Oreochromis niloticus: one gene and its partner. Each later gene encodes a partner of the first gene's protein in a complex. Links are inferred from orthologs where the notes say so. Each region holds a gene or a part of one and is shown on either strand. Other genes may lie near its edges.

Region 1 (12,263 bases):
TTTTTTTTATTCTTACTTTTGTTTTTGTATGCGGAGACAATAATCTGGGATAGATCTGCGTGTAAACTGTCATTTCCACGAACTCATAATGTGAATAATTCACTTTGTACTGAGTTATCCTGATTCTGTAATATCCAAGCACAATGTCGCGAGTTCCTTATTAACATTCTTACACTTCTCATGATGGACAATTGTTTATTTCCTTAGTTCAAAGGACTAAGTGTGGCATCTCTTTCTACTGCACACAAGCCAGACACAGCTCAACATGAAAGTATTTGCTAGGTTGTTTGCTCCCCCCCCCCCATTTATGACTGATCAACAATCAAGAAACTGGATCACTTCATACCTTAAAAAAAAGAAAGAAAAGAAAAGACACTCAGACTTTAGTGAAGATCTCTTTTATTGTTAGTCAAAAGAGGCTACAGTATGTTAGCATCACCAGCAGTGATATGTTTCCATGCTGCATTCAGATTAGAGCATCGCAGATGAATGTTTTAAGGACAGTTTGAGATTAGAAAAAGAGGAAAGGCCACAGATTGGTCGAGTCAGCTCCAATTTTACATGCTAGTCTAGTCAAAAATGGCTGTTTCTCCTTTGTCACTGACTGAAAGAAATGAAAACAGTTGATCCCAGATAATAGAAGCACAGATTATATCTGCCAGTTCATGTTATATATGGATTGTACGGCTATCCAAGCAGAGTAAAGCCGAAACCCAAGCCCTAAACATGAAGCCCTCAAAGCAGTAATGTGAGTGTGTGAGTATAACATGGATCAAAATGGTATCAACAGGAACCTTAAAGCCAGAATAGGTTTTCTATTATTGTGGACTAGGGTCTGTTGGTTTTATATTTATGTCTGATCTGTTGTGTTCCAGGCTCCCACCTAACAGAGGAGACAAGAGCAAACTGTCATATAATTGATTTACTTGATTTAGTCAAAATATAATTAAGCACAAGTTTTTAAAAAGTGTAATAAGGCATATAGTGCATTCCGTTGACTTTTTGGGTGGCTGCTCCTCTCACTTGCTGGCTTTTCCTGTGAACTGTGAATAGCTTTCTAAGGTAAAGTCTGCAGAAACTGGGCTTAAGGATGGTGTACATGGAGGAGTTTAAACGTCTACCAGTGAGCCCTCACACATTTAACACAAGCACAACTCAAAGGTTTGTGAGCGTGGACGCTGGGATTGAGCCAAAGGTGTCATTTTTATGTGTGCACTTCAAACTGAAAGTGGCAATGCTACAACAGAAAAATCATTAAAGAGTGTAGAAACTATGCTGTAGAGCTCTGCAATGTAGAAATACTGACTGATTGGAAAGTTTGAGTGAGTTTTAGATGAAAGACAAGTTGAAAGCTAAAGTTTTCAGCGCCTACCACACATTTTCCATCAGAGAAACTCTACTGAAGTAAGGTCACTTTGAGTTTACGTGGTCCAAGAAAGCTTTGGCTTCACTAATGTGCCCTACAGCCAAACTCTTTCCAAAGTTTACCTCTTTGATCAAATAAAACTAAACAGGGTCACATTTAGGCACTAACAGGCTCCACAATCACACCTCTGCCTCTGAGACTGGGAGACCCCGATGCTGTGCTGCACGTGGCCTCGAAATGCCACTCTGCTGCTCTGAGCCCCACAGGCCTGTCTTCTCTCTCCTCGCCAAACTTAAAAATGCTGCAGGTAGAAATCTGCTCAGTCGTCTTCTTTCTCAGCCACTTTCCTAGCCTCGGTATCTGGCTTTCTGTCAGCGGAGTTGGATTCAGCTCCTCCTCCTCCTCCTCCTGCAGCACGGTTGCGGCTTCTGGCACCTGGCTGGTACAGCTGAATAGCAGGCCGGTCCTGATACAGAGAAAGAGCAGGCTCAGAAACACAACTGGATGAAATTGTGTGATGATTTAAGACCTACGGGCAGTTACCTTATTTCGTAGCCGCTCTCTTTTCCCACCCTCCTCCTTCTTGTTGTCTTTAGCAGGCTTCTCTGGCTTCTCAGTGTGTGGGGAGTCTGGCATGTTTTCACCCTTCTTCTTCTCCAAGGCTTTATCTTTTTTAACCTCCTCCTCCCGCTTCTTGAAGGAGTTGTCTCCATCCTGTTGTTCCCTTCTTCTCCGACGCTCCTCATCCTGTCGCTTGAGGCGTTCCCTCTCTTTCTGCCGACGCTCCTTCTCCCGCTCTCGGTCACGGTCTCTGTCTCGATCCGTGTCGCGCTCCCTGAACTCCTTCCGCCCATCTTCGTCCCCTCTGTGGGAAAAGCACAAGTTTGACTGAACCTATAAGGGACCATGGAGGCTCTTTTATGACAAGAGATTTTCACTATATGAAAGTAAGTATTGAGCCACCTCTTAATTAAAATCCAGTAGCAAACCATGTAGTCTGCCTTAACAAACATTTATTTAAAAAAACAAAATAAAAACCACACTAACAACAACAGTCTTCCTGTGGAACTCTTCCTACATTTTCCACAAACAACTGTAAGTAGTGCTATTGCAGAGTCGAAGTATTAAATAACCACATCAACTCAACCACAAAGTGACAGATCAGGTGAAGGCAAAGAGAGAGTGTCAACATGTTTTGCTGACTCAATACCCACAGAGCTCAAACCTCCTCTGGCATTAACATCAACACAAAAACTGTGCACCGGGAGTTTGGTTGAATGGATTTCCATGGCCAAGCAGCTGCATGACATCTTCCAAAGCCTTCATATATCCCTAATCTCAACTGCTCACAAATGCTCTTCTGGATGAATGTGCAAAAACTGACCACAGAGACACTTCAAGTCTTTTAGAAAACCTTTTTAGAAGAGTGGACTCTATGGACGCCTATGGGTTTAGAAAAACAGGCTGATCACTCTGTGTTGTAGCAGTGTAAAACAGACCCGGTCGCAGATTAGAATCAAGGATGAAAACATTTATTTTATGTGACTGTGCGGTGCATTTTGTGTTGCTGTAACTTTAACTGAATGCCTTTCCTCAGTGGTGTTAAGATGACTCAGAAGAAGAACGACGACCAAAAAAAAAAAAAAAAAAAAAAAAAAAAAAAAAAGGCACCTTTGTAAAAATGTAAATGTAATGTGTGTGTGTTTTTTTTTTAAATGTGCAAGAATTAAATGTGTTTCTCAGGCCAGCATTAAAATATTAATAAATAGAACAGACAGTAATTATTTTAATCTAAAAATCGCATAATAAAAACACAAGCTGATAAAGTGCAGAGGACAAATTATGGCACCGAGTTCATGAGAATCATAGCTTTACAGAAGCAGCTGCACTTTAGGATTATCGTACAGGCTGTGAAGCTATGCAGTCCTCTGCCTGAGGGGAGGGCGGTAAACGGTTAATATAAATGTCCTCTAAAGAAGGAGAGCTGCTACAAGTCACTTTTCAGGCAGATTTATCAAATCTTTACAGTGTGTTTTTATTGCCCCCAGAGCAGTTGCCATACCAAACAATTATACAGTATGTCAAGATGCTCTCCAGCACACAATAAAGAAGTCAGCACAGCTGCACCAAGGCCAGTCTGCTTCAGCTTCTTCATAAAGAAAAACAAAACAAAACAAACGAAACAGCTCTTTGTGAGCGTTCTGATAATACTGACCACATTTGTGGTTCATGTAAGGTTACTGGACATACGCAGAACCAGAGCCACAAGCTCAAGTTTCTCCAGGAATGAAACCTGTGATCTCTCCTCCTAAAGTCCACCACAATCCCTTTCGTATTCCCCACACTGATGCACACATTGTTTGCATCACACCTGCCAACAAATTCTTCCACCTGTCTACCGTACATTGCTGGAGATCAGACCAATGACGATTGTGCCATCTATAAATTTCATCACATGAATGCCTGGATATTTTGAGGAGCAATCGCGTGTAAGCAGTATGTACAGTAGAAGGCTCAAGAGACACCATGGATCTTGACTAACCCATTAATCTACTAGTAGTGTAGGAAATGTGATGCTAAACCTCAAAATGATTAAAACAGTATCTATGATAGATAAAGGAAATGGTATGGTTATGATAAGCATAAACAGACCCATTAAAAATAAAGTATTCTGGTATTAATTATAATGGGATCAACCTAAAATAGCTTGTTCACTTGAGGGTGAATGTATTTGGACAATTAAAAGAAGAGTGAAGAACTAACTTCCTTCCTCGATCCTCCTTGTGCTCGATGTTCTGACGTCTCTTATGATCAGAACCTCCCAAAGATCTGTCCTCTCTATTTGGCTTCTCTGGTTTCTTGGACTTCTCTTTTGGCTTCTCCGGTTCACCTTCATCTCTTCTCTCTGGCTTCTTCAGGAGCTACAACAGTAAAAATAAACACACATTAAGTACTGAGAGTTGGACACAGTTTCGAACTGCTTCTTTCAACTACTGCACACACCTTTATCTTTGGCTCGTCTTTAGCTTGGTCCTTGTCCTTCTCCTGCGGTTTCTCGAGCTTCTTCATCTTCTCTGCCTCTTTGCGTTTCCTCCTCTCCTCCTCCCTCCACTTACGACGCTCCTCATCACGCAGACGTTTGCGCTCGAGTTCCCTCCTTCTTCGCTCTTCTTTCTTCTCCTCCCTGAGTCTCTGTAGAACATTAAAACAAAATGTGTGAGGCCAGCCTCCAGCAATGTATACACATCTCGACCTGAACTTATTTACCTGTTTATTCTTCAGGAAGTCCAGCAGAGGAGTTGTTTTTTTTGCTTGAACAAAGGAAATGATAAAAATTATTCATTGTGCAGTGCGTTTGTTTGAAAACTACCAGTATTTGACTGCTAAACATACCAACGAGTTCCTTTGATTTAGCTTCAATCTCCTCCAACAGGGTCTCAGGTGTGGACGTTAGCTTCTCGTCGTCCCCGTTGTAATATTCAAGGAACTTTTTGTAATCTGGATCTTAAAAGAATCAAATGAAACACAAATAAACACATTAATGATTATAGCAAGACTGCTTTTTCTGTATCTTTATATGTCTTTATAAGTGTTCCTAAATTGCACTTAAAGCAGACCTATAATGCTTTTCCTTATTTTCTGACATACTGCGTTACAATATATGAATTGTATTTATCAAAGGGTAAATATATTTACCTTCGACAATTGTTCCACACTTTGCATCCTTTTTTTTACTTCTTTTCTTGGCAGTTTTTTGAAAAGGTGCAAATTCCACAATGGCAGGATACTCCTGACCTGTTCGTAAACATCATGTGGAAAAAGATGAAACTTCGGGTCCTTCCTACAGAAATCTTTAAATCTGTTTAGTAACTTCTTCCCTGTTTTATACCTCTGTTGTCAATGAATACATATCCATCAAAGCGATCTCTGAAGAGCACTATATCCTCTTGGTTTTTGAAGTTGATGTAAGCCCTTGCAAAGAGGTGAGGGTAAAGGCTAAAAGAGGAAAACACCTGTGTCATACATATACGAGTATATTTATCTTTTGTTAACAGTGAGGGAATCTTTACAGATAAACTCACCTCGTGTCGTTAGAGAAGAACTCCAAATAGTCCACCTCTGGGAGCGGTTGCAGTTGCTCCTCCAGCTCCTCTTTGGTGAGACTTGGTGGTAGTCGTCTGATCACAATCTATTTAATAAAAAAAAAAAAAAAAATCATAGGTGAAGTTATTATCTGGAGAACAAAGTTGGGGCTGATAAACAGATTTCTTAAGTTCACGTGCATTCTATCATTATACACGTGAAACATGATGAAACACTACAACATGAAAAATAGTGCAATTTTATAAACCTGGCGGTTCATAGCAACATGAGCTAACGCAGCTAGCAAGTTTTACCTTTGTCATGGCCTCCTTCTTTTCCTTGGACTTCTCCGTCTTCTCTCCATCTTCATACTTTATCTCCACCCTTTTCTCCTTCGGTCGAGTGTTTTCTTTGTCTTCCTTCATTGCAGAAAACTTTACTTAATCCTGGACTTGGGTCTCATCTCATTCAGCTGACTTGTTTACCTTTCAGCGAGTTAGCCTCTGCTAGTGAACGAACTAACTGGAACTTCCTCACTGACGGTTAGCGCTGCGTTTAGTATCAGCGCCGGAGTGGGGCGCTGTACATGAACTCAATCGTGCCTAGGCAATTAATTTAATAACTAGAATATATTTTATTTTGTTTTATTTATAGTCTTAATTAGTTTGTCCATGAAAGGAATTATTCTGAATGGTTTCTTATTTGCTATTAGAAAGAAATGGTGCTAGCGTGAGCCAAAAAGAGCTTCCGCCTTTCAGCTACACTTCAAATTAAAAGCTTACTCGTCGTGTAAACACTTAAGTCATGTTTGGCGATTTCCAGACAAAAAACAAAACAAAACAAACGAACGAAAGAAAATTAAATAAACAGGATATATATATATATATATATATATATATATATATATATATATATATGTATATATATATATATATATATATATATATATGTATATATAAAGATTGCTTAACTGAAAATAATTGCCTTCCATAATTCAAAATGCTTCTTCAGAGATCGCTTTGCTGGTAAGTCGATTTTTTGGTGGGGAGGAGACTAACCCTAAACTCAAATTTTTGAGATAATAACGAAAAGGGGAAACGTTGACCTATAGATAGCTAAACAAACGTTTTTTAAGTTTTTTTTTCCAGTGACAAGTGTCCATTTAAAAAAATTAACATATAATTTGAATTATGATAGAATTTTTAACACTTTTTTTTCCTCCCCACATATCCATGTCCGATCGGTTTCGTCTTTTGACTGTAAAAGCATAATTTAATCATCGATTTAAAATTACGATCAAAATGAATTGTTGAATTGAAGTGTTTTATTTTGAAAATCTTCAACAGGAAGTTCTTCTCTTGTCCTGGAAGAGGAACGTAGGTCGTCCTGACGGTCGACATTTTGCTACTTTCTGGGATAAATAAACAGCGTTAGGTAGGTTTTGGGGCAACTTTGTTGTCCTCGAAGTTGCTCTTTGTCCCCTGACAGTTAAACGCTGTAATCATGTGGTATGAAATTCTGCCCGGACTCGGCGTCATGGCCGTGTGTCTGATCATTCCCGGTGTCGCCACCGCGCAGATCCACAAGTTCACTAACGGAGGAAAGGTGAGGACGCAGGCGCTGCCAGTAGGTTCTCGTGTTGTGTACCAGACTGCTGGATTATAAAGAGTGTGTTTTTCCCCCGCAGGAGAAAAGGATTGCTCGGGTTCCGTGGCAGTGGTATCTCATGGACAGAGATAAGCGAGTGTCAGGAACCGGACGCCACTTTGACTCCAAGGTTAGCTTCCTTCTGCCCATAATAACTAAAAGTAATGCTAATGAATAACAAAGTGTCCAACTTGGAACTACTTTACAGCCTTTCTCTGAGACTACAACTACATATAAATACAAAAGTCGCTTAAACTGCTCGACAGTAGTGTGCACAGTTTCAGAAAAAGCAGTATGTGCAAATACGGTGCACTTTCAAAACCCTAGTTTTGTTTCAGTCAGGCATTTCATGGAGGCACACCAATGTCCACATTCACAGAAAAAAAAAAAAACACTGTATATCATGTGACTCATCTGTGTATATTCTTTTAATTATAAAGGCATTCTTGGTAGCACATTTGCACTATCTGGGGTGCATCTGTACTACCTCCACGCCATCAATCAGATCCTTTTATGTGTACAAACACAGTGCATTTGAATATCACTCATTATTGTTTTGCCTCCCTTGGACTTGTCTCAGCACACCAGCATGCCATTTTTTTTGGGGGGGGGGGATATCGAAATGATTTCTTTTTTCCTTTTCCTTAAGCTGTAGTATCTTTAAGATCATTCATCTGATTGGAGTAGTTTTATGGGAATCTGTGTTACAAATTTGAACCCTCTATCTTTGAAACTGTTCATCTAAAAACTTTCAAATATTTGTAATGCAATCAAATTTTCAAGCTAATTGGGTTTCTCAGAATGTGATGTTTAACTTCAACAACACTTTAGAAATTCCATATTCCTGAAGTCAAGACAACAGATATTTGGCCTAAAAAATTGAATGACGTAGCTTAAATAGTTCTCTGGATTGGTGCATTTTCAAATGGCTATAACTTCATTACAAAATAATTTTTATCGAAACGTGTCCTATAATGATACTTTAACCTAAACTATATAATTATGCAAAGTGATCATCCCAACATGCTCTATGCTAAATAACCCAATGCCATGCTTTAGCCTTTTATATAGTAAGTACCACACGGTGGTCTTCCTTGTTCTCGGTCATCAGGTAACACCGATGGCGGTGTTAGTCTTGTGTAGAGCATAAAAGGAGACCTAAAGTCCATAAAATGTGTTTTTAGCTTAACTGAACACAATGGCTGCTCATGTATAACTACTTTTAATCCTTATTTATTTCGCTTTTCCTCACCAGGGACTTGAGAACATTCACTGACGAGGAACCCGGAGAGACCCAAGAGAAGAAAGTTCTTTGTTGTACATTAAAAGATTATATTTAACATTCAGCTGTTTGTGTTTTTCAGTCTTTTAAGATGGGTGATTAAACTCTTCCACACACTGGGAATCTTGTGAGGCTTCTTATATTGATTTCTACCAGTAACAGAAGAGAGAAGGAGTGTAGTTACTATTTTATTTTATTACATCTGCTTACATGTTGACAGGTTTACTGGACTTGAGATGTCTCACAGTACCTGCTGTTACCATTTAGCTGTAATACGCCTTCCTGCAGCATCACGTTAACTGTAACTAACTCTATTGTTCCAAGTAGCTTCAAAAAACAACTATTGACAAAAACTAAAAGACGTGATTAGTCCATACATTTTTTTTTTTTCAGTGCAGTTCATTAATTTCTTTCAGTCTGGGATTAGGTTTAATCCAAGTTGTGGAAACATGATGTCAATGTTTTCTCAGTGTTTCTTTCAAACCACCGTCACAGGCAACCTGTGGTGGATGCTCAGGTGATATTAACTAATAAAAAAAACAGCAAATGCAGGAAAAAAATATTTTGTTTCTTACAAAAATGTTCATTTAAAAAAGCACTAATTGAAATGCTGTAAAAAGTAAAGAATTCAAAAAACTCCTGTAAGAAAAAAAACAATAGTTCTGTATTAGCAATTTATAGAAATTTCTTTCTCACGCCAGTGAAAAACATCTTAAAAGTCATAAGACTTTCAACTTGTAAATAAATAAAGGTTTATAAACAGCTGAAGTAAATGCACACTGTGGCCACTGATTCACTATAAAGAAGCTGAAACAATTGCTAAAGATATTTGGGGGTCACTGTGGCTAAAAACCAGTCAAGTATGGGCACCACTTTAGGTCAATGAGTGAGCAGGTGATCACATGTCACATGGTCAGAGTGCAGTGTCCCTCCTCACTTTTCTTTCTTTCCACTAAAGGCAAACATGCCCAAAAAAATCAATATGAACAAAATTTCCACCTCACCTTTCCAAAAGTCGGCCATTGTTTTTACATTTATTTGACCTGTACCATATCCAGTGATAAACTGCAATATTGATACTATGTGTATTTTCTGAGGCAGAGACTTGTCTGTGATGTCACAGATTTTACCACTACAAATATATATTATTTTGAAATGAAAAAAACAAAACAAAACATGCTTGGAACAAAGTAGACTTTTGCTTTAGACTGTGGACTTGAAATGGTGGTAAAATTAATTTGGCGGCACTTTTAAAGACAGCTTGAACTTTTTTTCAGTACTGAAATTTTCATGTGGTTCCTGTTCTTAAGTAGCTATTTGCTCAGATATTTGCTCAAAAACACTGGCAGATTTATTTTTAATATTCAGAGTTTGATGGTAAATTTTTTGCCAAGTTTTCTTAAATATGCTACAATTAACTCGTCACAAAAAATGATCAGTTATTTAGTTTAAAAAAAAAGCCTTTATTTAAGTGTTTCACTCAGATGAGGTCCTGCACTTTAAAACAATAATACTACAAACTGCTCTTTTTTTCTAAATGGTTTTCTACTCTTGATGCATTTATCACTTATAGTAGAACTCCCGGCAAGAACAGAAAGAAATAATAAAATGGCAACAAGATATGATAGTGAAAATTTATTTAACATTCTGGTTGGGAGCATTTGAAAACATTTACAAGAGACGGATAAAAAAGGGAAGGAGAATACAACTGAATACTTCTCAGACACATTTTTACAGTTAAAACACTCCTGCACTGTACACTCGATTCAAACTGAGAGAGAAAAAAAAAAGCTTTACGCCTCATGTCACTAAACAACAAGTAAAGGTTCCAATAACAGGAGACAGAAACTGGTCGTTCACTTCTCCTCCTTGCCTTTGGTTTTCCTGTACACCATCTCCCTGAAGCTCGACAGGATCTTGCTCTCTCTCTTTCTCCTCTCCTCCTGGTTGAACGATGCCAGGGCTCTCTTTTCGTCTGCGCTGTAGATCTGGTTTTCCTTTCTCAGACGCACAGCCTCCATACGACGATGTCTGCGGGGCGAAAAATTTGTCAATATTACGGGAAGAAAAGCTGAACACGCTCCTGGATCTGCTCAACTCAATCCAGCCTAGAGCACAAGCTAAAGCAAATGTTACAATGTGCAGAGATTAGTAAAGAAATTAAACAACATTTTGAAGCATTTGGTAACTTTTGCTGCACATATATGTTTTGAGGTTTGGTTTAAAATCAACTGGAAATGCCACATTTTCACTGATTCCTTTACTTAACCCATGTTTTAACTCACCATATAGAGCCTCTGCTGGGAGAACACATTTTATATGTTGTTGTTAAAGTGTGCCTCATTAAAACTACTAAATCAAGAACCGCCTTTTTACGGAAATCTGCGTGTATTAATGTAGTAATGCAGAAAATGTTAAATCCAGATGGTGACTTTTGTTTTGGCCAGGCAGTGGACTTGTGAAAAGAATCTTCACTACAAAATCGTGTTGATTTGTTTAATATGTTTGCATGAATCGGACCACAGCTGAGGTGAAAATTTTCCATTTTCTAAACATTACGTACCTGCTGCCACTCATGACGTAACCAGACTTCTCAAAGTTTGCGATCTCATCGCTGGTGAGACCGATCTCTCCTCTTCTTGGGATACGTTTGCCAGCTTTCACGTACTCTGCCATGGCAGCACCTTCACCTGGCAACAGGGCATGACCGAAACTGGAGGAAGGAGAAAAGAAAAAGAAGCTTTTATCAAAAATTCTGCCAAATGATTTAAACAAGTTGTGTAGTGGAAATGCTTAACAGAGTCTGTCTTATTTTGTCACATCTGATAAACTGAATCATAGTGATTTCCATTTTTTATAGCCTAAATAAAACTGAAAGAACCAATCAATAATCAGCAATCTTCAATAATGTCAACTCTACTATCGCTTTTTAAAAAAAAATCCCAGTCTTCAAGCTCACCATTTAGCTAGCAAGTTTGAAAATACACAGCCTGCCTCTGTTATTTTTTTCTGTTTTCAGACATTTAATCAGTTTTCTGTACTGTACAGGTATGCTCCACTGTAAACAGCAGTTGTGTTTTGGAATAGAATACAAACTACATTAGGATTAGATGCTCTCCCTGTTTGTTAATGCAGGAATTAACACAAACAGAGACTCACTCCAAAGGTCGATCGTTCTGAGACATGTGAGTGAGAGGAGCTTCGGGGCCGACGACATGCTCATCAATGGAGGTTTTCTCCACCCACAACACCCCATTGGGATCTTCCTCCTCTTCCTCCTCTGAGGCCTCGCTGCTGGAGTCGCTGCTGGACTCCTTCCGGCTTTTCTTCGCCTTCTTCTTCTTGGACTTCTTAGACCTGACGAGAAACGGGATGCTTGGTGAGTCAAATGGGCTGTTACCATGTCAACAGAGCTGGTGCACAGCTTTGTATCAGAACATACTTTTTGCTCTTCTTTTTCTTTTTCTTCTTCTTTATTTCTTCTTCTGAAACACAAAAACAAAACAGTTAAACTGATGAATCTGATTAGAGAAAAAAAAAAAAAAAAAAGGGTGCTTTTCGTTCATCTTACCATCCGAATCTGATTCAAGCTCACTGTCCTCTGAGTGCTTTTTGTTCTTTCTCTTCTTGGACTTCTTCTTCTTTTTCTTTTTCTTCTTCTTCTCTTCTGATAATAACAGACAGAATGGTTTTGTTATAAATTCACAGAAAACGTTGCATTGCTGTAATTTATATGTGTCCACACTCTGTGTACCTTCTGTGCTTGATTCTGAACTGCTGTTTTTCTCATCTTCTTCAACTGGTGTGAACTCATCGGAGCTGATGGAGGGGAAAAAAATACAGAAAAGAATTTTTGATACCTGAAAATAAGACAGAACAACGCCT
Region 2 (12,383 bases), on another chromosome or scaffold:
TTTAGTCTGACAAAAGCCGAATGACGAATCAGCGCTTTCAGTCAGAGATTGAGCATGCACCGCTTTATTGTATTTCCAGACTTGCTTTCGGCACAATTTACAGTGCGCGCTACTCTGTTTTTTGTCAGACTTGAAACAGCCGAAATACCTTCACACTACGGAACTTCTGTGGCCCTTCCGTTCGACAAGCTCTCCGGCATTGGACCCATCATCGGTTTTTTTCTTCGGTAACCTTCGCTCACGCTCTCGGCTGATTTTTCTCTATCAGGCAAACTCATTTCCTCCATTACCCGGGCTGCACGGTGGCTGGCTGCTTCCCAAACAAATACACATGTGCGCCTTGGCGCTTGTGCTGTACGTAACAAGTCACGTGACGTGACACTGCGGCTGTGATTGGTTCGGCTCTGTGCTACTTAATTTGGATTGGCTGTTCTTCTTCTGTTTTTAAGAGGACAAGAGAGATGAGGCCTATCGCAATAGTTTAATTTTTCTATCGAGAAAAAGTTATTTTGCAACACATATCGTTATCGTTCTATCACCCAGCTCTAGTGGTGGGTGACCAAAATTAAGTGTCACGTCTTTGTGTGCTCCTGTTCTTCAGGTTCAGGGGAACAAACCTGTAAAAGTCCTGTTTCACTATCACCTGGTTTGTTTTTCATCTTTATGGTTAATATTTATTATATTTTTTGCTGAACTACATCAGAACTGTGCGTTTCCAAAGATGAGCTTCAGTGAGTCAGTGACAGAAATTTGTTGATATTATATTATTATATTTAGAACAATTTCAGCACATTTACTAAGTGAAGTTTTTATAAAGTATTTTTACACTGTTACATAACAAAGCACTGTACAAAGAAATAAAGGCTAGGAATAATCACAGTAAAAGATCATAAAACATGAAAATACAATCGATAGCAATACAAACTGAGTTTAAACACGCAAGAAAACAATGAAAGAACAGATGGTAAAAAGAAAGAAAGTTATAATCAATAAGAATATCAACGGGAAGCCTCGTTAAACAGAAACATTTTCAAGTCCACAGCCTTGGTGCCACAGACTGAAACACTCTGAACCCCACAGGTCGTATAAATACAGGCGTGGATGTCCGGCACAGGGACATTTGATATTTTGATGATTTGAACTGCTCTGAATGAGCTGCTTGTTTTTTTCTCATCATGCATTTGTCTTAATACAGTTTCATAAAACAGAAAGTTATATTGCATTCAGAATAAAGCGTTATAATTTCAGCACCATGGACAGCGCATAAGCTCCACGCTCTGTGACCACATCAGATCAGTCAGACAAACACACAGCTTTGTCTTATTACTGTTAAGATGTATCACAACCTTCAGCTTTGTTGTTCGGGAACCTTTTCAGAGCCACGTGAAAAGCACAAAGCTGATGTATTTGTGATTGTAGAGTGAAATATTTTACACTGTAACCCATGTAGTGCTTTACATAAGCATGAGAATGTTTAAATGAATATATATTTAGGAGAATATAAAATATTAGCAATGTGCACTCCCTTATTACAGTCCAGTACTGATTAGAAGAAGAAACACGGAGCTCAGCATTGACGTCAGACGAAAACTGAAAATAATTGAGAAGAAAATGACAAATACAAAGTTGAGAAAAAGACTGAGTCATGGTCACTGAAGATGGGAGAGATCATGCGCAAAAATAAAGTCTCCAGGACATAAAAAGGTGTGAATATTTTTACATATTAATGCTTCAGATCATCAAACAAATTCTCTAAAAGATGTGAAACTTTATTCTCACCCTGCCAAGTTTTAAGCATGAAATCCAGTTTCTCACAATAGAACAAGTTATTTAAAAGAAAGTCTTATTCAGCAACAGTGAGGCCATTAATCAGCATCACTTCAGCACAGACCAAAATAATAACCTGACTGGGTCCAATTTGGATGCTAAGTTAAACCAAGACAAAGAAAATTAGAAGTGTGGTTAAAGTCAAAGTCTCTGCTGAGAGCAGGAGGGCAGACACCCATAAGGGGGTGATTACAGGAGTACACATGAGTGTAACCCTAACAGCAGTCCGTCCATTTAAGAGGCTGATTAATATTTAACATGAAAATAGCACATAAGCTAACCAGCTCTGGTCTGGTTCTGCTGGCAGCTGCTGAGGTGAGCTGGCTGTTAGGCTAACAGGACCTGACTCATCTGAAAACATCAGCTCGATGTTACAAAGAGGCTTTTTGATATTGAACAGACCAGAAATTTGACTTAAGCCACAACATTCACACACACGAGCACGTCAGAACTGTTTGTACAGTTTGGACTGTCGAGTCATGAAACAGTGAAATCATTAAAATGAATCATTATTTTAAATGATGACACATTTACATCATTATGTAATAACATATAGGATGTTTATCTGTAATCAGGTATGAGAGATTTACTGTCAGTGAGGTCAACAATCAGACCTTCAGGTGTAACAGATGCAGTGATGTGAACGTTATCCAAAGCCTATATTTACACACACAGACTCAGCTGACCTGTGATCAGTGCTGTATCAGTCCTGGATATGATGATGGAGAGGAAAGAAGGAGGGAACGAGAGCAGCAGCTCCTCCTCTGTGAGTCTGACTCAGCAGCTGAAACCTCTGAGTCCACATCGAGGATCCTGATAAACACCGAGCAGCAGTCTGCTCATCCTCTCAGGTAATATTGATAATCTGATCGAAGCTCTGTGTATTTTACTCAGATGAAAATGAGCAGAGAAGCAGCAAGCCGTCTCTAACGACCTTTTTCAAAGATGGATCATGTTTCAGACTCGCAGTAGACAAAGATCCGCAGGAAGCCGAGAGCACAAAGCTGCTGCAGCTTTATTTGTTGTTTAAGGTGAAGCTAAATCTAAAAAACAACCACCTGAGCTTCATGGATCAGGCAGCTCATTATGACAGGACAGCGTACGGCTAGCCAAAAGATTTTTATCAAACAGCACATTAGCTCACGACACAGAGCTCCTGTGTTTGCTGTTAGAGGTCAAATCCTGCAGAGGCCCAGGGACGACCCAGAAGCCTCCAGGGTTCAGACATTTCACAGATGTTTCACCAGTCTCACTTTTTGCATGTTTCAGAGCGAAGCAGCAGAATGGATCTGAGAATGTCTAGAGAGATGAAGAAGAAGAATACAGAGGAGGCTCTGAGAAAAATGATGAAGACGTGCGTGAAATGTCCAGATTTGACGGTGAATGAAGCCATAGTGAAGCTCTGCAGCACCTCAGCAAGACCAAACAGCAGAGCTATCCCGTTGATGATTGGCTCAAGGATCTCGCTGAGAAGCTGGCTAATCTGTCAGGTAGTGTCAAGCTGGCGGGGCTTGGAGCGCTGGCCTTCACCATCTTCATCGACATCATTTCAAGCTCAGAGAGCACAAAGGAGGCTCTGCGGTGCGTCTTTGCAGAGCAGAAGGCCTCTGAGGTGTGGCATCAGATTGACGAGTGTCTGAAGAGATGCATGATGCACACAAATGATGATGCAGAGCTCATAAACAACATCAGATGGATCGAGCACCAGCTGAGCATCGTGCTCACCAGGCTGAAGAGCTCCATGATGAGGGACGGACAGATGTCGTCACGAGCTCTGAGGGCCTGGGTGAACGGAGCCGCCTTCCACATCCAGGTGCGGATCCACCTGGTGAGACTGGGAGGGCTACAGACCTGCGGACCTGTGGACACTCTCATCTCTGTGTATGAACGCGAGCTTGAGCTGCTGTTCGAAAAGCACAAGATGGAGAATAAATACGAACTGGACAAAGAACGTTTTAACAAATTTATTTCAGAAGAGGGTTCACGTACAGCTATTGCTGTTAGCCTTGTCCCACTTTCTAAAAGGTTAAAGATTTATTATGAGGAAAATTACGACAGCCAGAAGAAGCAGATTGAGCAGCACTTCAGCAAAGTCAGAGAGGATCTGCCACAGCTGGTCAGTCAGAGGGGTCACCTGAGTGTGTCGGAGTTCACCTGATTCGTGATTTCACTTAGTTTGTCTGTTAAAGAACAAATAACTGCTGCTTAGGTCATCATCTCCTCTGTCTCCCTCTGATTGGTTGATAGTTTTCATGTGTTTTCAGGAACGTGTCTCTTTCTCAGATATGTGGTTAATTATGATTATCAGACTGAAGTTAACTCGCTCACATTTAAAGCCAGTTATCCACGAGTCTGTCAGTGTCTGTGTATCTGTCTGTGGGCACACCAGGTGATAAACACCAACATGTATTCTGGGGTCACTGAAAGGCCAATTATTTTCTTAATTGAGGAACAGAGTGTCAGGAAATTCCTAATTTTCAAAGTAAAGGTTCTGTTACATATGGGGAAAAGGCAATTATAGGAAATGGTCAGGATCCTTTAACGCTACACTTTTGCAAAACAATAGCCTTCGATTACCTGTTGGATGTTATCAGTGATCTAAAGCTGTGAAAATGTTGTCTCCCTTCAGCTTATTAGCATGATGATAAATGTGTTTACTCTCCTAATAAACTCAACTATAGGAACAACAGCAGAAGTGTCCTACATGTGGAGAAATGTGCATCACAGGGATAACAGCAGGGCTCTAGAGTGCGACCAATTTGGTTGCAAATGCGACCAAATTTTTCAGTGGTGCGACCAAAAAAAAATATTTGGTCGCACCGGTGTGACCAAATATTTTCGGGTAACAAAAAAAAAAAAAAATCTCTGCAACTGTCCGTGTGGTCAACAACAGACACACATTATGCCCCTATCGTGGACTAAACCAATCAGAGATAGTCAGGGGCGGGACCTCTCTGATTGGCCGTGGTCCAGTTGAAAGTGCAGGTGGAAGAGAGAGGTGAGTAGCTTGAATAAAGTGATATCATTTCATTAAGGATTCCACACAAAGACGTAAACACAGACCCGACGCATCAGAATCAGCTTTGTCTTTCTCGGCTTTCTCACCCCACGGCCCGAACACGGACACGCTGTCGGAGCTTAGTGATTCTGATGCGTCGGGTCTGCGCTGTGTTTCCTCTTTTTTGCGCTGATTCTGAGCTGCAGGTTTTGTCTCTCCAACCAAAATTCGCCGAGCCAGCAGCAAAAGAAGCAGCAAACTACGCTTCACATTTGATCAATGTCGTCATGAATTCCCTCTGACTTTTGCTGTTTTGCTTCCACCACGATAAAAATCACACTTCATGCACAGCTCTCCCTCTCTCTCTCTCTCTCTCTGTACTTCAAGAACAGTTTCCCGTCTCAAATCTCTGTTTTCTGCATTATTTATTCGCTTATTACCCACCAGTCTACCGTTGTTTACAGCGCTGTCGGCCGCTGTCTTTTTCTTTTCTTTTTCTTTTTTCACTTAAATGACCTCGGACAAGAAAGCCTAATTTCTGCTGTTCAGTACTGAAGAAATTTAAACTTCTTAAAATTATGCAAAATTGCAGAATATTTTTAAGGTTATCTGCTATAAAACGCCAGACCAGGAAAATCTCCTTCATGTTTTTCTGTGTTTTATTCTCAGTTACTTTGACACAAAGGCATCTGCTGTGATGTTCACAATTCTGATGAAGTCTCATGTGTATCAGTGCTGATAAATGATCAGAATTATAATATTTCTGACTGTCTGAGGCTAAATTGAATCGAATCAGGACTTTGAGAACCGGAATCGAATGGATTATAGAAATCAGTGATGATACTCAGCCCTAGTGAGCAGCCTAGGCCTGACAGAAGTGGATGTAGCTGTGGGTAATAAGAAAAGATGAAAAGAACTATTGATAACTTTTGTGTTAAGTTAAGGACTGATCCGTCTGAAATTCATAGCCAGCTCTGACACGGTGCCATCAATCTTTGAATGCTGAAAAAGCAGCAGTGCATCCAGAAAACACATTATATGCTGCAATAAATGCACTGCCCAAGTGTCCCCTCTCCCCACTGCCTTTCAGCAGCAGGCAGCAGCAAACAGGTCGTCAGAGGAGGCCGAGGTGATGATTAAGTTTAACATTTTCTACAATATTGACAAAGCACTTTAAGCACAAGTTTGTTAGTTAATAATTTAGAAATTAATATTGTCTGTATGGACTTCCCCCCAAAGAAAGTGCACATGTAAAACTGCGGTGTTAAGCGATGCGGTTGAAAAATTTGAGTGCGCCTAAATTTTGTGCCGGTGCGCCTAAATTTTTAAAGTTAGGCGTACCGGTGCGCCCATGTGAAAAAGTTAGTTTAGAGCCCTGATAACAGAGAGTACAACAAGGAGTGAGGCCAGGACACACTGACAGGGATGAAGGGAACTCAGGTCTGTGTAAACAGTGGGAACTAACTGGGGATAGGAAACAGACAGGGAACAGCACGCAGGTGAAGACATACAGGAAGTCAAACTAAAACAAACTTAAAGCTGCTGTCTGGTACAGGCAGATCCTTAAAAAGCACAGATGCAGTGCTGGGCTCTTCAGAGAGCGACGTGGTGGAGGGTTTAACCGATGGTGCTCACCTGAGGCCTCAGACTCACTGTGGAGACAGGTTATTCTGCTCTGAGCTCGGCATCTCTGCAGCTCTGAATGTAGTCAGCAGCGCCGTCTAGTGGTGACCGACGGAAATGCGCTACTCTGACGTCTTACCTGTTCCTCAGGTTCAGGTACATACCTGTAAAATATCACCTTTTTCTCGTCACCTGTTGCTGTGTCGAACTACAAACATGTAGCTTTTACTGCAATACAACAACACTGAAACTCAGAGCTCAGTATTAATCCAAACGTAATGTAAGCTTGACCAAAACGTTAAAATAAAATAAAATAAAAACAGACTTCTTTGTTGGTTTGGAGGGAGACGCTCACGTTTCAGATCCACCGCCTGTCTGCAGAAACATGCTGCTGAAGCTTTGGTGCATCATCCATCAGCTGCACATCCAGATACTTTAAATACTTTAAGTACTTTTACCTGAATACATTCTGCATGTCAGGACATTTACTTTACTAAAGTCAGACCTGCAGAACTCTGTTTATTGTTTCTGTTTTGATTTTTATTACCCAGTTTGTTTCGTTTCTGTTGTACAAGTTATGTTTTATTTTCTATTTATTTATTTTGTCGCATTTTCAAGCGTGTTAGTAAAAGTTTACAAACAGTAGATGGCGGTAGAGAGAAAAAGGTGCTCTTAATTATCTCACTGAAGAAGAACTCGGATACCCATAATCCTCTGCTTCTTCCGTTTCCAACCATTCGAGTCCTAAGATGGCGGACCGGCGGCGAAGGAGGAGGCGCGCGTCCCAGGACAGCGAGGATGACGATGAGTCCGGGTCGGGTTCGGACAGCGGGAGGTCCGGGTCCCCGTCCTCGAAGCCCCGGGGACGGGAGCCCGACCCGGCGGAACCGACCGCGAGCCGGGTCCCGGCGAAGAGCGACGTGGAGTCCGAGTGTGTGAGTACCAGCTAGCAGCTAACGTTAGCTCCCAGAGCTCACCCGGTCCCGGGCGGGAGATCAGAGCCGAGCTTTCGGGCGTTAGAGCATTTACTCCGGGCCCGAGACCCGCTCCGGGCTCGGGTCACTGTGGAAAATGAACCCTGGATAAAACAGCGGGTGACGTGTTCGAGTCCCACAGACAGCTCGGTGTTTGTTCGGCGTTAGCTCGAAGGTAACGGCTCCGCTCTGTAACCGCTCCGTCGGACGGTTCTGGTCCATGACCCCGGCCAGCCTGGCGGTTCGAGCTGGAACAGACCGAGTAGCTCGCTGTAGCGCTTGTGTCCGAGCCGGAAAGGCTCAAACTAACACGGACACCAAACGTGACACAACACCGAGGCGTGAGAGTGATGTCCGGGACCCCCGGGCTGGCTGCATCACGCACCTCCGCGTGACCCGAGGTCTGAGAGAGGCTCTGGGCTGAGCCTCCATTTTGTGGCCGTGGATCTGTCTGAGATCATCCTGGGCCCCTGTGGTGGTGTTTAGCTGCCGTTTTTGGTCCCCGCAGCGGGGGGAAACATGACTGATTCGGTCCGACCGCAGTGCAGGCTGAGGCGGGTTTATTGGCTCCAGGCTGTTTACATGACAACAAACATGAAACGACAGATTAGTAAGAACCAATCAGCAGCAGGCTTGTTGATAAGTGTGCTGAAGTGAAATGTGAGTCCTGCCTGTGATTTCAGACGTTTGCTGTGTTTAAGCTCTGTTACTTTGGTTCCCAGTTTACAGGCTTCTGCTTCATCTGATCTCTGCTCTTGTTTGGGTCGTCACGGCAGCTCATCTGCCTCCACCTCCTCCTGTCCCAGCATCCTCCTCTGTCACTCCACCCCTCTGTATGTCCTCCTTCACAACATCCATGAACCTCCTCTGAGGTCCTCTTTGTCTCCCCCTGCCTGGCAGCTCACTTTTTTTATCATCCGCCCTCCCTCCTCTGCACATGCTCAGACCCTCTGTGACTCAGAGTTGTCACTCATTTCTGACGCTCAGTCGCTGTCCACAAATCAAACATCACAGCAGGTCTCACGACCTTCTCATAAACCTTCCTTTTCACTCTTGTAAATTCTGTTTTTAATCCAGATGCACTTCCTGACACGACCCTTCCCATGTGTCTGTGCTTGGGACGGCACTTGGAGGGCAGTGGCCTGTGGCTGGTCTTCACTGTGAGGAAGACGCTGATCTTTCTTGGTCTGTGAGAGTCTTTCGGTCTCAGTCGCTCACTCACACAGGCGAGCTGACGGCACCTCGTCATGATTTCTTCACATATTTTAAATATTGGTTCTTTGCGCTGGTATAAACTCACTCGACCGTTTGCAGGTAAATTAACTGTTCAAACTCCCAGAGGAGCTGTGCTGGTGTTACAGGTGAGAACGCTCCACCCTGCTGTATCAGCGCTGCTGCTGAAAAACACAGACACAAAGTGAATCCAGCTGTTAGCGTGAGATCAGACCGAGCTCATCTGTAAAGAGGTTTAAAGAGACTGACTCTGTGAGACGTGCGATATGACCAAAATCTCATATCCCGATATTAAGACATCTATCGTCCGATAACGATATAAAATCACAAAAATGTAACATTTTCTGTAAATTCTGTGAATGTCGGGCAGCTCGACTTGCGTGAAGTGTTTCCAGCTGGGCGTCGCGTACCTGGAGTCGAGTGTTTTAACTGATGCATGAAACGATACATTTGTAGACATAGGTTGTAACGGCCGCCGTTTTCTTTGTGAGTATTTATTACACGGCGTGCTGCGGGGAAAAGCCTGTTCTAACGTTTGAGTATAAGGTTTATTTTTTAGCACCTGACGGCTCTTTTTTGCTTCTCATCCGTAAACACTCTGCATCTTTCACGTGATTCAGTTTATTTTGAAAAGCCTCAACAGGATCTTGAGCTTTATTGTGAAAGGTTTATGTGGAAAATAAACAAGCGGACACGAGGTGGTTTTACCGTCGTTGTTGCTAACGAAAACGCATAAAAACAGGCGCTTGTCCGTCTGTAGTGTGGTTATATTAAATATAAGAGAAAGAGAGAACTTTAGGAAATTCATATAGCCACTACAGTGACCATCAAAATAATGAAAAAATATTGCCGTAAACAGTTTATTTTGCGACACCACGAAACAAACGATAGCGTAAAATGAAACGATAGACGTTTTTCTATCGTCATCCGATATATATCGTTATATCGAACAGCCCTAGTGAGACGTTTGATAAACTCGGATCTTTGAGCTGCGTTCAGACTCTGCTGAAGTAATCCGAGCTGTGCTGTTGGTGGTCTGTACAGTTAAAGGTGGAAGCTGAATAATGTGCACGGCGCTCTGTGACATACTCGCAGCAGAGCTCAGGCTCTGACACACAGACGCGTCTGATCCTCGGCGCTTTGGAGCTGCAGGAGCTTAACGCTGGTTTTCTTCTTTGTTGTTGCAGGAGAGCGAAGACGGCGTTGGAGAAGGTAAGCGACTTCTTCGTGAGCACCACACTGAAGTCACAATCTGGGAAATCAGGCTGCTGTTGGGTGATTTCACTCCTCCTCTTTGTTTTTCAGCCGTCCTCTCAGATTACGACAGCGCCGACCCCGAGGACAACGGATCGCATTCAGAGGTACGACCGCCGACTCGCTGCTTTCTCTCGGCTGTGACGTCTTGTTTAGCCTCTTTAGGGAGTGTTTCTCCTAAAACTGTGTCCTCCTCAGGGAGTGGAGGAGGAAGAGGAAGCAGAGCAGTACAGCGACGAGGAAGCTCCGGCAGCAGCCAGCGAGCCCCAGCCCCCCACTACAGATGGCCCTGTGGAGGGAGCGCAGGGAGAGGAGGAGGAGGGCGGAGAAGCTGAGGAGGAAGAAGAGGCTGTAGGGCGGAGCAAAGAGGAGAGCAAAGCAGAGGAGAAGGGAAACCTAGCAGGAGAGCGACAGAGCGGAGACGGACAGGTGAGACAGGCACAGGAAGTGAGTCGTCCGTGTGCCACAGTGAGCCTCTGCTCAGACATGTGACGGAGCTGACACAGGTGATCAGAGCAGGTGGATGAGTTTGAATACCTGAGGTCAACCATCCAAAGCAACGAGGGGAGTGCAGACAGGGTTTAAAGATGGTACCTGCTGCCATCTGATTGGTCTGATCTGAACTTTCATACAGGAGTCGACGGACGACCCGGAGACGAAGGCGGGGGGCAAACCGGGGCAGCAGCTGGACGACGACGAGGACAGGAAGAACCCGGCGTACATCCCAAGGAAGGGTCTGTTCTTCGAACACGACGTCAGGGGGCATGCTCAGGAGGAGGAGAGGTAACCGTCACAGCACCGCCTCCAGATCAGCTCCAAGTCGTTTAAACGGAGACATTTAAAGTAAAGTGAAGGAAGGTGTCTGCTACGTGCTGCACGCTGACAAACTGAAGCGATAAGAGTTTAGGGAGGAGTTAGACGGGCTGAAACGATGCGCCCACAGATTTGCGTCACTGCTTGCACGGGTCAGTCATAAACTCTGAGCAGGTTAGAGCTCGTTTTTAAAGCCTCTCTGCTCTTACCTCATCGATGTGATGCGCACGTGCCTGTCGTTATGACCTTGAATTTCCTCTCCGTCTGTGTCTTCAGGCCAAAAGGCAGAAACAGGAAGTTGTGGAAAGACGAGGGCCGCTGGGAGCACGACAAGTTCAGGGAGGAGGAGCAGGCGCCGAAGAGCCGCGAGGAGCTGATCGCAATCTATGGTTACGACATCCGAAATGGCGGCGGCCCCGGAGACCGAGGGTACAGACAGCGGAGGCCCAGGTGAGCGGCGTGTCAGCTGAACGTTGAACGTCTCCGGAGCTGCGAGCTTTGGGATACCTGCGGGTCACCACGCTAAATAAAGTCACTTTGAGTGAGGTCATCGTACTTCCTGTAACGAGCGTAGCCGCTGTTGGTTTGATGTTTAACCTTCGTCTCTGTGTCTCCTGCAGACCGACTTCGTCTCCCAGCAGAGACAAACGGTGGAGAGATGGAGGAGGAGAGCGGCCCGTCCGGTCCTGGCAGAACAGGGGAGGAGGGGGAGGAGGTCTGAACCGAGGAGGAGCTCCTCCACCTTCATCTGTCCACCCCTCCTCTTCGTCGTCATCCTCTGCACAGCGAAGCGGCATCCCCTCCAGACCTCCTCCCTCCCGTACCAGACCACCCCAGAGTAACCTGCACCCCCCACCTCCGTCTCACTACAGGAACAATGAATCAAACGCACCCCTGGTGCACCACCGAGAGCGGACGGGTCCTCGGGCTCAGGCGGAGCCTACAGGGGAAAAGGGAGGTGTCAGAGGAGGGCGAGGAGGAAGGGCACCCTCTGTGGTCATTGAGGACATTACAGTCAGTCAGGGAGGGGTCACGGAGCAGGAATTGAGCGTTGGCGCCGTGACGCCGGCAGCGTCGCCACAGCCGGGCGGTTACCAGTCCACTTCACCGAGACGCCAGCAGGAGCAGCGAGGTGGCATGGACAGATCTGCGTCAGGACTGGCCGCTTCCTCTTCCGGCTCCGACCCTTCCCTTCAGTCGTCAGCAGCAGCGACCAATCGGGAAGCTTCCCCTCCCGCCGAGCGGCCAGTGGAGCGCAAGTCTTACTCACTGGCTCGCAGGACTCGCTCGCGTCCCGCAGACCTGGGCAGTAAACAGGCGTCTGTGGAGGAGTCCGTTGCCGGGGGCAACAACTCTTCTCCTAGCAATGTGGGGGGAAAGAGCTGGTCGGGTGGAGGCGACGCACCGAGCCAGGCGGGAGGAGGCGTGACGGAGCTGGACCAGGACGTGGCCCGGCTCAATCTGGCCAGGCAGAGCTGGAGCCCGACCTCGTACATGCGGTCTGAGATGAGAGGTGAGGGCTTTTACAAAATCACCTCACAGGTGGCGCTCACGAGCAGAGTCAGGTGGTTCATGCTAAATGTCGACTGAACAGGTTCACCTGAGGCGGAGCTAAAACTGAGGCTGTAAAGCGCAGCTACACCCAAATATCTACAGCGTTA

What was found.
Region 2: upf3b (region 1) and casc3 share a complex: the UniProt entries of both Homo sapiens proteins name them as parts of the mRNA splicing-dependent exon junction complex. The link is inferred for Oreochromis niloticus from reciprocal best matches to the Homo sapiens genes UPF3B and CASC3.

What each region holds. Positions count from the first base shown.
Region 1 is NC_031966.2:18,502,970-18,515,232, forward strand, and holds upf3b (regulator of nonsense transcripts 3B), read right to left. Parts: upstream 6,192-12,263; 5' UTR 5,875-6,191; coding exon 5,764-5,874; intron 5,556-5,763; coding exon 5,449-5,555; intron 5,363-5,448; coding exon 5,256-5,362; intron 5,162-5,255; coding exon 5,063-5,161; intron 4,871-5,062; coding exon 4,760-4,870; intron 4,678-4,759; coding exon 4,634-4,677; intron 4,559-4,633; coding exon 4,370-4,558; intron 4,288-4,369; coding exon 4,130-4,287; intron 2,232-4,129; coding exon 1,910-2,231; intron 1,833-1,909; coding exon 1,686-1,832; 3' UTR 383-1,685; downstream 1-382. Other genes in the region: ndufa1 (NADH dehydrogenase [ubiquinone] 1 alpha subcomplex subunit 1), read left to right, coding at 6,953-7,054, 7,137-7,226, 8,352-8,372; nkap (NF-kappa-B-activating protein), read right to left, coding at 10,235-10,409, 10,942-11,091, 11,538-11,735, 11,821-11,863, 11,950-12,045, 12,133-12,197. UniProt on the Homo sapiens protein: Involved in nonsense-mediated decay (NMD) of mRNAs containing premature stop codons by associating with the nuclear exon junction complex (EJC) and serving as link between the EJC core and NMD machinery.
Region 2 is NC_031969.2:34,224,345-34,236,727, forward strand, and holds the start of casc3 (protein CASC3), read left to right. Parts: upstream 1-7,161; 5' UTR 7,162-7,197; coding exon 7,198-7,383; intron 7,384-9,842; coding exon 9,843-9,867; intron 9,868-9,960; coding exon 9,961-10,016; intron 10,017-10,107; coding exon 10,108-10,338; intron 10,339-10,543; coding exon 10,544-10,692; intron 10,693-10,998; coding exon 10,999-11,172; intron 11,173-11,342; coding exon 11,343-12,235; intron 12,236-12,383. UniProt on the Homo sapiens protein: Required for pre-mRNA splicing as component of the spliceosome. Core component of the splicing-dependent multiprotein exon junction complex (EJC) deposited at splice junctions on mRNAs.